Linked DNA regions of Ovis aries. The protein of the gene in region 2 interacts with the protein of the main gene of each other region in a pairwise test. Links are inferred from orthologs where the notes say so. Each region holds a gene or a part of one and is shown on either strand. Other genes may lie near its edges. The genes, in order: KIAA0408 and GFAP.

What was found.
Region 1: the proteins of GFAP (region 2) and KIAA0408 interact in binary tests that used the Homo sapiens proteins (3 or more experiments, as listed by UniProt). The link is inferred for Ovis aries from reciprocal best matches to the Homo sapiens genes GFAP and KIAA0408.

Annotation. Positions count from the first base shown.
Region 1 is NC_056061.1:11,123,749-11,127,565, reverse strand, and holds part of KIAA0408 (uncharacterized protein KIAA0408 homolog), read right to left. Parts: intron 1,999-3,817; coding exon 1,639-1,998; intron 1,551-1,638; coding exon 1,471-1,550; intron 1-1,470.
Region 2 is NC_056064.1:44,354,534-44,358,288, forward strand, and holds part of GFAP (glial fibrillary acidic protein), read right to left. Parts: intron 2,664-3,755; coding exon 2,538-2,663; intron 2,378-2,537; coding exon 2,157-2,377; intron 1,377-2,156; coding exon 1,333-1,376; intron 979-1,332; coding exon 859-978; intron 1-858.

The DNA.
Region 1 (3,817 bases), on a different chromosome or scaffold from region 2:
CCACATTGTTAAATTTGACACAGGGTTGGAAGAAGCACAAGCTGGAATCAAGATTGCTGGGAGAAATATCAATAACCTCAGATATGCAGATGACACCACCCTTATGGCAGAAAGTGAAGAGGAGCTAATAAGCCTCTTGATGAAAGTGAAAGAGGAGAGTGAAAAAGTTGGCTTAAAGCTCAACATTCAGAAAAGTAAGATCATGGCATCCGGTCCCATAACCTCATGGGAAATAGATGGGGAAACAGTGGAAACAGTGTCAGACTTTATTTTGGGGGGCTCCAAAATCACTGCAGATGGTGACTGCAGCCATGAAATTAAAAGACGCTTACTCCTTGGAAGGAAAGTTATGACCAACTTAGATAGCATATTGATAAGTAGAGACATTATTTTGCCAACAAAGGTCAGTCTAGTCAAGGCTATGGTTTTTCCAGTAGCCATGTATGGATATGAGAGTTGGACTGTGAAGAAAGCTGAGCGACCAAGAATTGATGTTTTTGAACTGTGGTGTTGGAGAAGACTCTTGAGAGTCCCTTGGACTACAAGGAGATCCAACCAGTCCATTCTAAAGGAGATCAGCCCTGGGTGTTCTTTGGAAGGAATGACGCTAAAGCTGAAACTCCAGTACTTTGGCCATCTCATGCAAAGAGTTGACTCATTGGAAAAGACCCTGATGCTGGGAGAGATTGGGGGCAGGAGGAAAAGGGGACGACAGAGGATGAGATGGCTGGATGGCATCACGGACTCGATGAACATGAGTTTGAGTGAACTCCAGGAGCTGGTGATGGACAGGGAGGCCTGGCGTGCTGCAATTCATGGGGTCACAAAGAGTCAGAGATGACTGAGCGACTGAACTGAACTGAACTGAAAGATGTATTCAACTAGGTTAACCCAGCATACTGTTCCACTGGCCAAATACTCAAAACAAAAAGAATGCCATTGTATACACTTGTTAATTTACTGTTTATTATGGTGAGTGTTGGGGTTTTCCAGGTGGCTCAGTGGGAAGGAATCCACCTGCCAATGCAGAAGGCACAGGAGACACGGGTTTGATCCCTGGGTCGGGAAGATCCCCTGGAGGAGGGTGTGGGAACCCACTCCAGTATTCTTGCCTGGAGAATCCCATGGACAGAGGAGCCTGGTGGGCTATACAGTTCCTAGGGCCGCAAAGAATCAGACACGACTGAGTGACTGAGCACAATGGCAAGCATAACTAAGCTAAACATCAATAAAAAGTGAAGTACACCTAACAGTCAAATTATACAGAAAACCAGGAGATTTACTTTAAGAATTAATGATCAAAGAAATGTACAATTTAAACTTTTATCTCCTAAAATAGCAGATTTTAGTAACATTACTAATTTTTGCTAACAAAGTGTTAAATGTGAAAGGTAATTTGGACTCATTAACTTAAAACAATATCCGTCTTGATTTTTCAACATAAAAATCATCATAGATGTACCAGCCTACCTTCTGTGGTTAGACCGCTTTCGAATTTCCTCTTGAAAGTTGCATAACTCTTCACTAACTTTGGCAAGTTCTTCAAGAGCCTTTATACATATAAGCAATAGCATGTTAGCCCTTTGAAATGTAAATATTTCTTTAGAAACAGTCCAAGGCAAATCCCGTCTTACTTACTGTGTTGAGGGCTCCAGAGCAGCTCTTGTTCTCTGCCTCAGAAGTCCTCCAGTCAGGCCGGGCCCCAGGTTCTTTATGGTTGTCTCTGGCTTCAGAATCCATATACCCTACTTTTGATTTTTTGATTGTTTTTTGTTCCTTGCACACTTGATTTCTTTCCCTGAGTAAACTCTGCTCTGTTTTATCTTTTTTCCCCAGAATGTCCCTGGGATGTATCCCTGTAATTTTACATTGTCCTGAATTGGGGTAATCTGCAGAAGATTCCATTTTATCTCCAACGGCCTTCTCACAATCAAAATCAATGACCTTAGCACGTTCACTCATGTTGATTTTCCTCCGACGCTTTACTTCATGGCAGAGCTATAAGGAAAACAAAGATAAAAATTTCCCCCTAACCTACTTTCTCAATAGTTTTGATCCTAAACACAGTGTTCTGAGTTTTCTTGGCCATATTACTATATAGTGGGTCTTCCCAGGTGGCACTCATGGTAAAGAACCCACTTGCCATTGCAGAAATATAAGAGACTTGGGTTTGATCCCTAAGTCAGGAAGATTCCTTGGAGAAGGAAATGGCAACCCACTCCAGTATTCTTGCCTAAAGAATCCCATGGATGGGGAGCCTGGAGAACTATAGTCCCTAGGGTCAGACATGACTTAAGCTACTTAGCACGCATGCATACATAGACTGCTCCAGGGCACTAATGCTAATGCTTCCAAATCATGCTTCTAAAATCTGGATTAGCTGGAGCAAACTTTTGATGAACCATAAAGACTACATGTAGTAGGGCAAAGAAGGTAATTTCTATTTTTCTGAGTACAAATCAATTCATTCAAAAATGACAGAAACCTGCGTTTATATATAGATGTCATAATGATACAGAAGCACTGTTAACAAAATTGGAAGGACCTCGATCAATTACTGGCTGCTGCTGCTGCTGCTAAGTTGCTTCAGTTGTGTCCGACTCTGTGCGACCCCATAGACGGCAGCCCGCCAGGCTCCCCCGATCCTGGGATTCTCCAGGCAAGAATACTGGAGTGGGTTGCCATTTCCTTCTCCAGTGCATGAAAGTGAAAAGTGAAAGTGAAGTCGTTCAGTCATGTCCAACTCCTGGCGACCCCATGGACTGATGCCTACCAGGCTCCTCCATCCATGGGATCTTCCAGGCAAGAGTACTGGAATGGGTTGCCATTGCCTCCTCCCAATTACTGGCAAGGTGCTCTAATTTAACCAACATTAAGGCCATATTTAAAAAATACATGATCCTACTTGTAAGTCAACATTGAACTGTCTAAATGACTGACAATCTCACATAGTAACTCAGCTCATTCTGTCCCTTAAGTAGTTATTTCATCATCAAAAGATGTTTCCTTAGGAGGTTACGTGGGTGAGGGGTAGGTAATTATCAGACTTGTTTTTTTTTTTTTTTTAACTTCGAAGGCTATATACATTCAAAAAAAGTTTCTTCCTTTGTCCTAATTAAAACAAGTGTGAGCCTGTCCTATGTAATACAATTGAACTCTAAGGCTTTGATCATCTATTAGTTTATTAATTGCCCCAAATTAGTTCTTGAGGATTTAGTTTAACCTGCAGGCAATTAGTGACTTTCTCTTCAGGCTTGAGTTCTGGGAAAGCTTGTCAAATTCCAAAGACTTAAAACAAATGACTCTACATTTTACAGTCACATCCTATATCTGCATGAGATCTATTAATCAAAGAATATAATAACAGATTAATTTCTGCTCAGTGTTTACGCAAATCTCAGAGAGAAGCACTAGAATATCGTTAATGCCTGAAGGATATGCAGTGCATTTATTGCCCTAGTCATAAATTTGTCATTGGATGAAGTCAGGATAGCATCAAATTGCCATCATGAATCAACCATTTTGGCTCCTGTAAAATTATCTGTACTGAACTGCTGTGGGCATTATAATTTTGGCCGACCTTGAGGGGCATAATAAGAAGCAACCCTCAAAAGCACCAGGCTAAATCTAAGGATGTTCTTGGTGGCACTGTCCTCTTTTAGAGGAGTCATGGGTGAAAACAAATTTGCTTCAATGTAAAATTAGGGACCAAAGTACTATTTCTGGAAAATTAGTCTGCTTTTGTTTCCTGAATATTGAGAAATATGCATCTGATAATTTTTTGTTACTTGCTAGAAAGACGGACCTGCTGCATGCA
Region 2 (3,755 bases):
ATCTGCAAAATGGGGATACTGCTGCCTACTTCTCTAGGTCGAAGTAGTGAGTTAACTGAAACAATGTGTGTAAAACAATGGGCACGTATTCATGTTCCGTACACATGGGTCCCTCTCCCGTCCCTCTTCCCTTTTCCTGCCTCTCTCTGCCACTTCTCTAGGACCCTTTTCTGTCTGGCATGTGGCAGTATTGCCTCTACCTGGTCTGCTGGTTAACTCTTCTGATACTGAACTAAGCCCTCGGACATGCATAGCTAGTGTTCCTAAATTTCTAGTCCAGAAGAATTATTTTTTCCCTCAGCTGAGAATTATTTGAGGGCCACATACAAGTAAGAAGCAATTTATTCCCCCCTGCAGAGAGAAAAATGTAACATGTCACACTCACTAATGTTTAATATTAAGAGCAGGGGACATAAAACTTTATTCACTCCAAGAGCAGCAGTCTAGAGGGAAATAATCCTCTGGGCTGAATCAGCCCTGAGCTGAACAACCGAGCCTCGGGGACAGAGGAATCAGGCCAAGAGCCTGGCTGCCAGGCACCGTGAGACTCTAGGGGCCCTCCTGGTGATGGGGAAGAGGTGAGGCAGAAGCTGGTGTTTGCTCAGAGGCCCAGAGCATCTGAGCTGAGTACCCGAGGACTTAGCACCTTGAACACTGGCCAACTCTACTACTTTAATGTACATTTACCCTGTGCCAGGTCCTGGACTGGGCGCTGAGATTGCTGGGGAAATGACACAGGGTTGGCCCTTTAGGGAAACCTGGGAGGAGGGAGCTCAAGAAGATGGGGAAAGTGGGCTTGGTGAGCTTGCTCCCTATTAAGGTGAAAAAAGCACCATGTCTAAAAGGCAGGCAGCTAACCGAGAGCCGGCGGGGCTCCATCTACAACCTGGTGAGCCTGAATTGGTATAACTTGTATTGTGAGGCTTTTGAGATGTCTTGTGACCTTGTGACTTTCCCCTTCTTTGGTGCTTTTGCCCCCTGTAGTGACAAGCAGTTAAAAAAAAACACACAAACATCAAACACTCAGCTGGACAGGGATCTGCAGACAGGTGAGAGGTTAAGACCCTCACTCAGTTCTGCAGTGGAATGGGGAGTAGGCATGGGAGGAGGGACAAAGGGCAGAGCAGGACAGGAGTGGCTGCAAGCCCCACCTGGAATGCTCTGGAATGGTGTGTTCTGGCTGGAAGTTCTGCCATGAATATTGAAGGTCCCCACAGAGAGCACTGGGCCCCTCTGCCCTGGTCCTCGGGCTCAGACCAGAAGAGCAACCCACAGGCCTGGGGAAGGGGGCGGGAATCCAACACTCTGCCCACAAAACCCTGTTCTACTGACCTCGGATCTGCAGGTTGGAGAAGGTCTGAACAGGAATGGTGATGCTGAAAGACAGCAGAAGGAGAGGGGTGACCAGCCTGCCAGAGGACACTCCCAGGCCAGATCCTGGTCCAAGGTCACCATAATAGCTTCGAGGCCCTCTTCCTTGCCAGGAAAGGCGGACCTCCATCTCTTAGCTTCTCCAGCAGCCAACACACTCCCCGCGCTGTAAGAGCTCTGGGGGAACACCTCCACTCAAAAGAGAGTGAGTGCTCTGAGGATGACAGAGGGGAGGGGAGAGCAGTGAAGAGAGTTCCCAGGAGGCAGAGGAGATTGGTCAGCAGAAAAGAAGTCCAGTCTTTGTTGGGAGGGTGGGGAGTGAGCCTTTTAGTTTGGAAGATAACCCAAGTCCTTACCCTAGGATCTGATCAACATGGGCTGAATTGAATCCATCCATTCATTCATCAGGCATTTATGAATACCAACTGTGTGTTAGGTGAGCACTGTGCTGGGCGCTGGGATAGGAGGGGGCTGGTCACGAGGCTGAATAAGACAGTCCCTGATGGGGCTTCCCAGATGGCGCAGTGGTAAAGAACACACCTGCCAAAGCAGGAGACACAAAGAGACGTGGGTTCTATCCCTGGGTCGGGAAGACCCGCTGGAGAAGGAAATGGCAACTCACTCCAGTATTCTTGCCTGGGAAATCCCATGGATATAGGAGCCTGACGGGCTACCATCTATGGGAGTCGCAAAGAGTTGGACATGTCCGAGCACACATGTATTCGTGAAGGGAGCAAGGCGACTCTGGGGCGGGGCAGTAGGGCAGGCGGCCGGTCTGGGCTCACCGGTTCTCCTCGCCCTCCAGCAGCTTCCTGTAGGTGGCGATCTCGATGTCCAGGGCCAGTTTGACGTTGAGCAGATCCTGGTATTCCTGCAGGTGGCGCGCCATCTCGTCCTTGAGGCTCTGCCCCTCTTCCTCCAGCCGGGCCAGCGCCTCCTGGTAACTCGCCGCCTCCCGCGCGTGGCGCTCCTCTTGCTCGCGCATCTGCCGCTCCAGGGACTCGTTCTGTGGGTGGAGCCGGACCGTTCCCCGAGGCCCCGCCCCAAGAAACTTTTCAGAGCTCCGCCCCGAGCCAGTCCTTCAGCGTCTGCTAGGGCTGTAGGTCCCAGGTTCCCGGCTCGCTCACCCGTACCCCTCCTCCGCCTGCGGCCCCGCCCCTGCTCACCGTGCCGCGCAAGGACTCCAGGTCGCAGGTCAAGGCCTGCAGCTGCCGTCGGTAGTCGTTGGCCTCATGCTTGGCCTGGCGGAGCAGCTCCGCGTTGCGGGCGGCGGCGTCGTTCAGGTCCGCGAACTAGATGAGGAGAGGGCTTTATGCTGGAAGGCGGTCTGGGGCCGCATATCGCGGGAGCTTAGTGGGCTCGGGGGGTTGGTACGCGGTCTGGAGGATCAGGGAGATGGGCCGGACGGTACGGCTGTTTTCCAGCCCACCCCACGCCACTGGCACTGGGTGGGATTATTCACAGTCACCCGTGGCCCATGGACACAGACACAGACGACATTGCTACTTCTCTAGCATCTAGCTCAGTGCCTGATGAGGGAACGCGTGAATGAGCAGAGGGTGTCACAGAGCCCAGACTCTCCAGTAGCTCCATCCTCGGGACTGAATCCTGTCCTCCTAGGTCACACACAGGGAGCTCTGGTGAGCAGAGACCAGGTTCTAATAACCCTCTCTCCTTCAGCCTGCTCTGAATCCCTCATGGTTCCATCACGCCTTAACCTGCTCAGAACCATCCCTGACTTCTGCCACTTACACTCCTCAGCTCCATGCCCTGGGCCAGGATCTCCGGGCCCCCACTTTTCTGTGCTTTATGGCCTCTACTCAGGCTGTGTCCTGCATGCCCTTCCTGAATGCCCTTTCTCTCTTCTCTGTATGTTCGTAGGCTGCCAGTCCCGCCTGGCCCCACTGCCCTCCCATGAAATCTGTCCTGCTTCCGCGTTGCGTGTAAACCCTGCCCTGCTGCGTTCTTCACAGACATCAAGCTGAGTGACATCACATCCCCCTGGTCAGACGTGTCTCTGTATGCAGGGCAGAGCCTGGCATGCAGCAGATACTCAGTAACCCAGGATGCAGATGGCAGAAGCATCAAGAATGTGGGCTTGGGACTTCCCTGGCAGTCCAGTGGTGAAGGCTCCACCCTTCCAATGGGCGAGGCGTGGGTTTGATCCCTGGTCAAGGAACTAACATCCCACATGCTTAGAGGCATGACCAAGAAAGCCCCCCAGATAAACAGTTAAAAAAAAAGATAAGAATACAGGCTCTTAAGTGAGACAGCTAGGGTTAGAAATCCAGCTCTATTGCTTAGGAGCTGTGTGAATTTGGCCAAATTGGTTAACCTCTCTGGACTTCAGTTCTGTCATCTATCAAAGGACAGTACCTACTTCA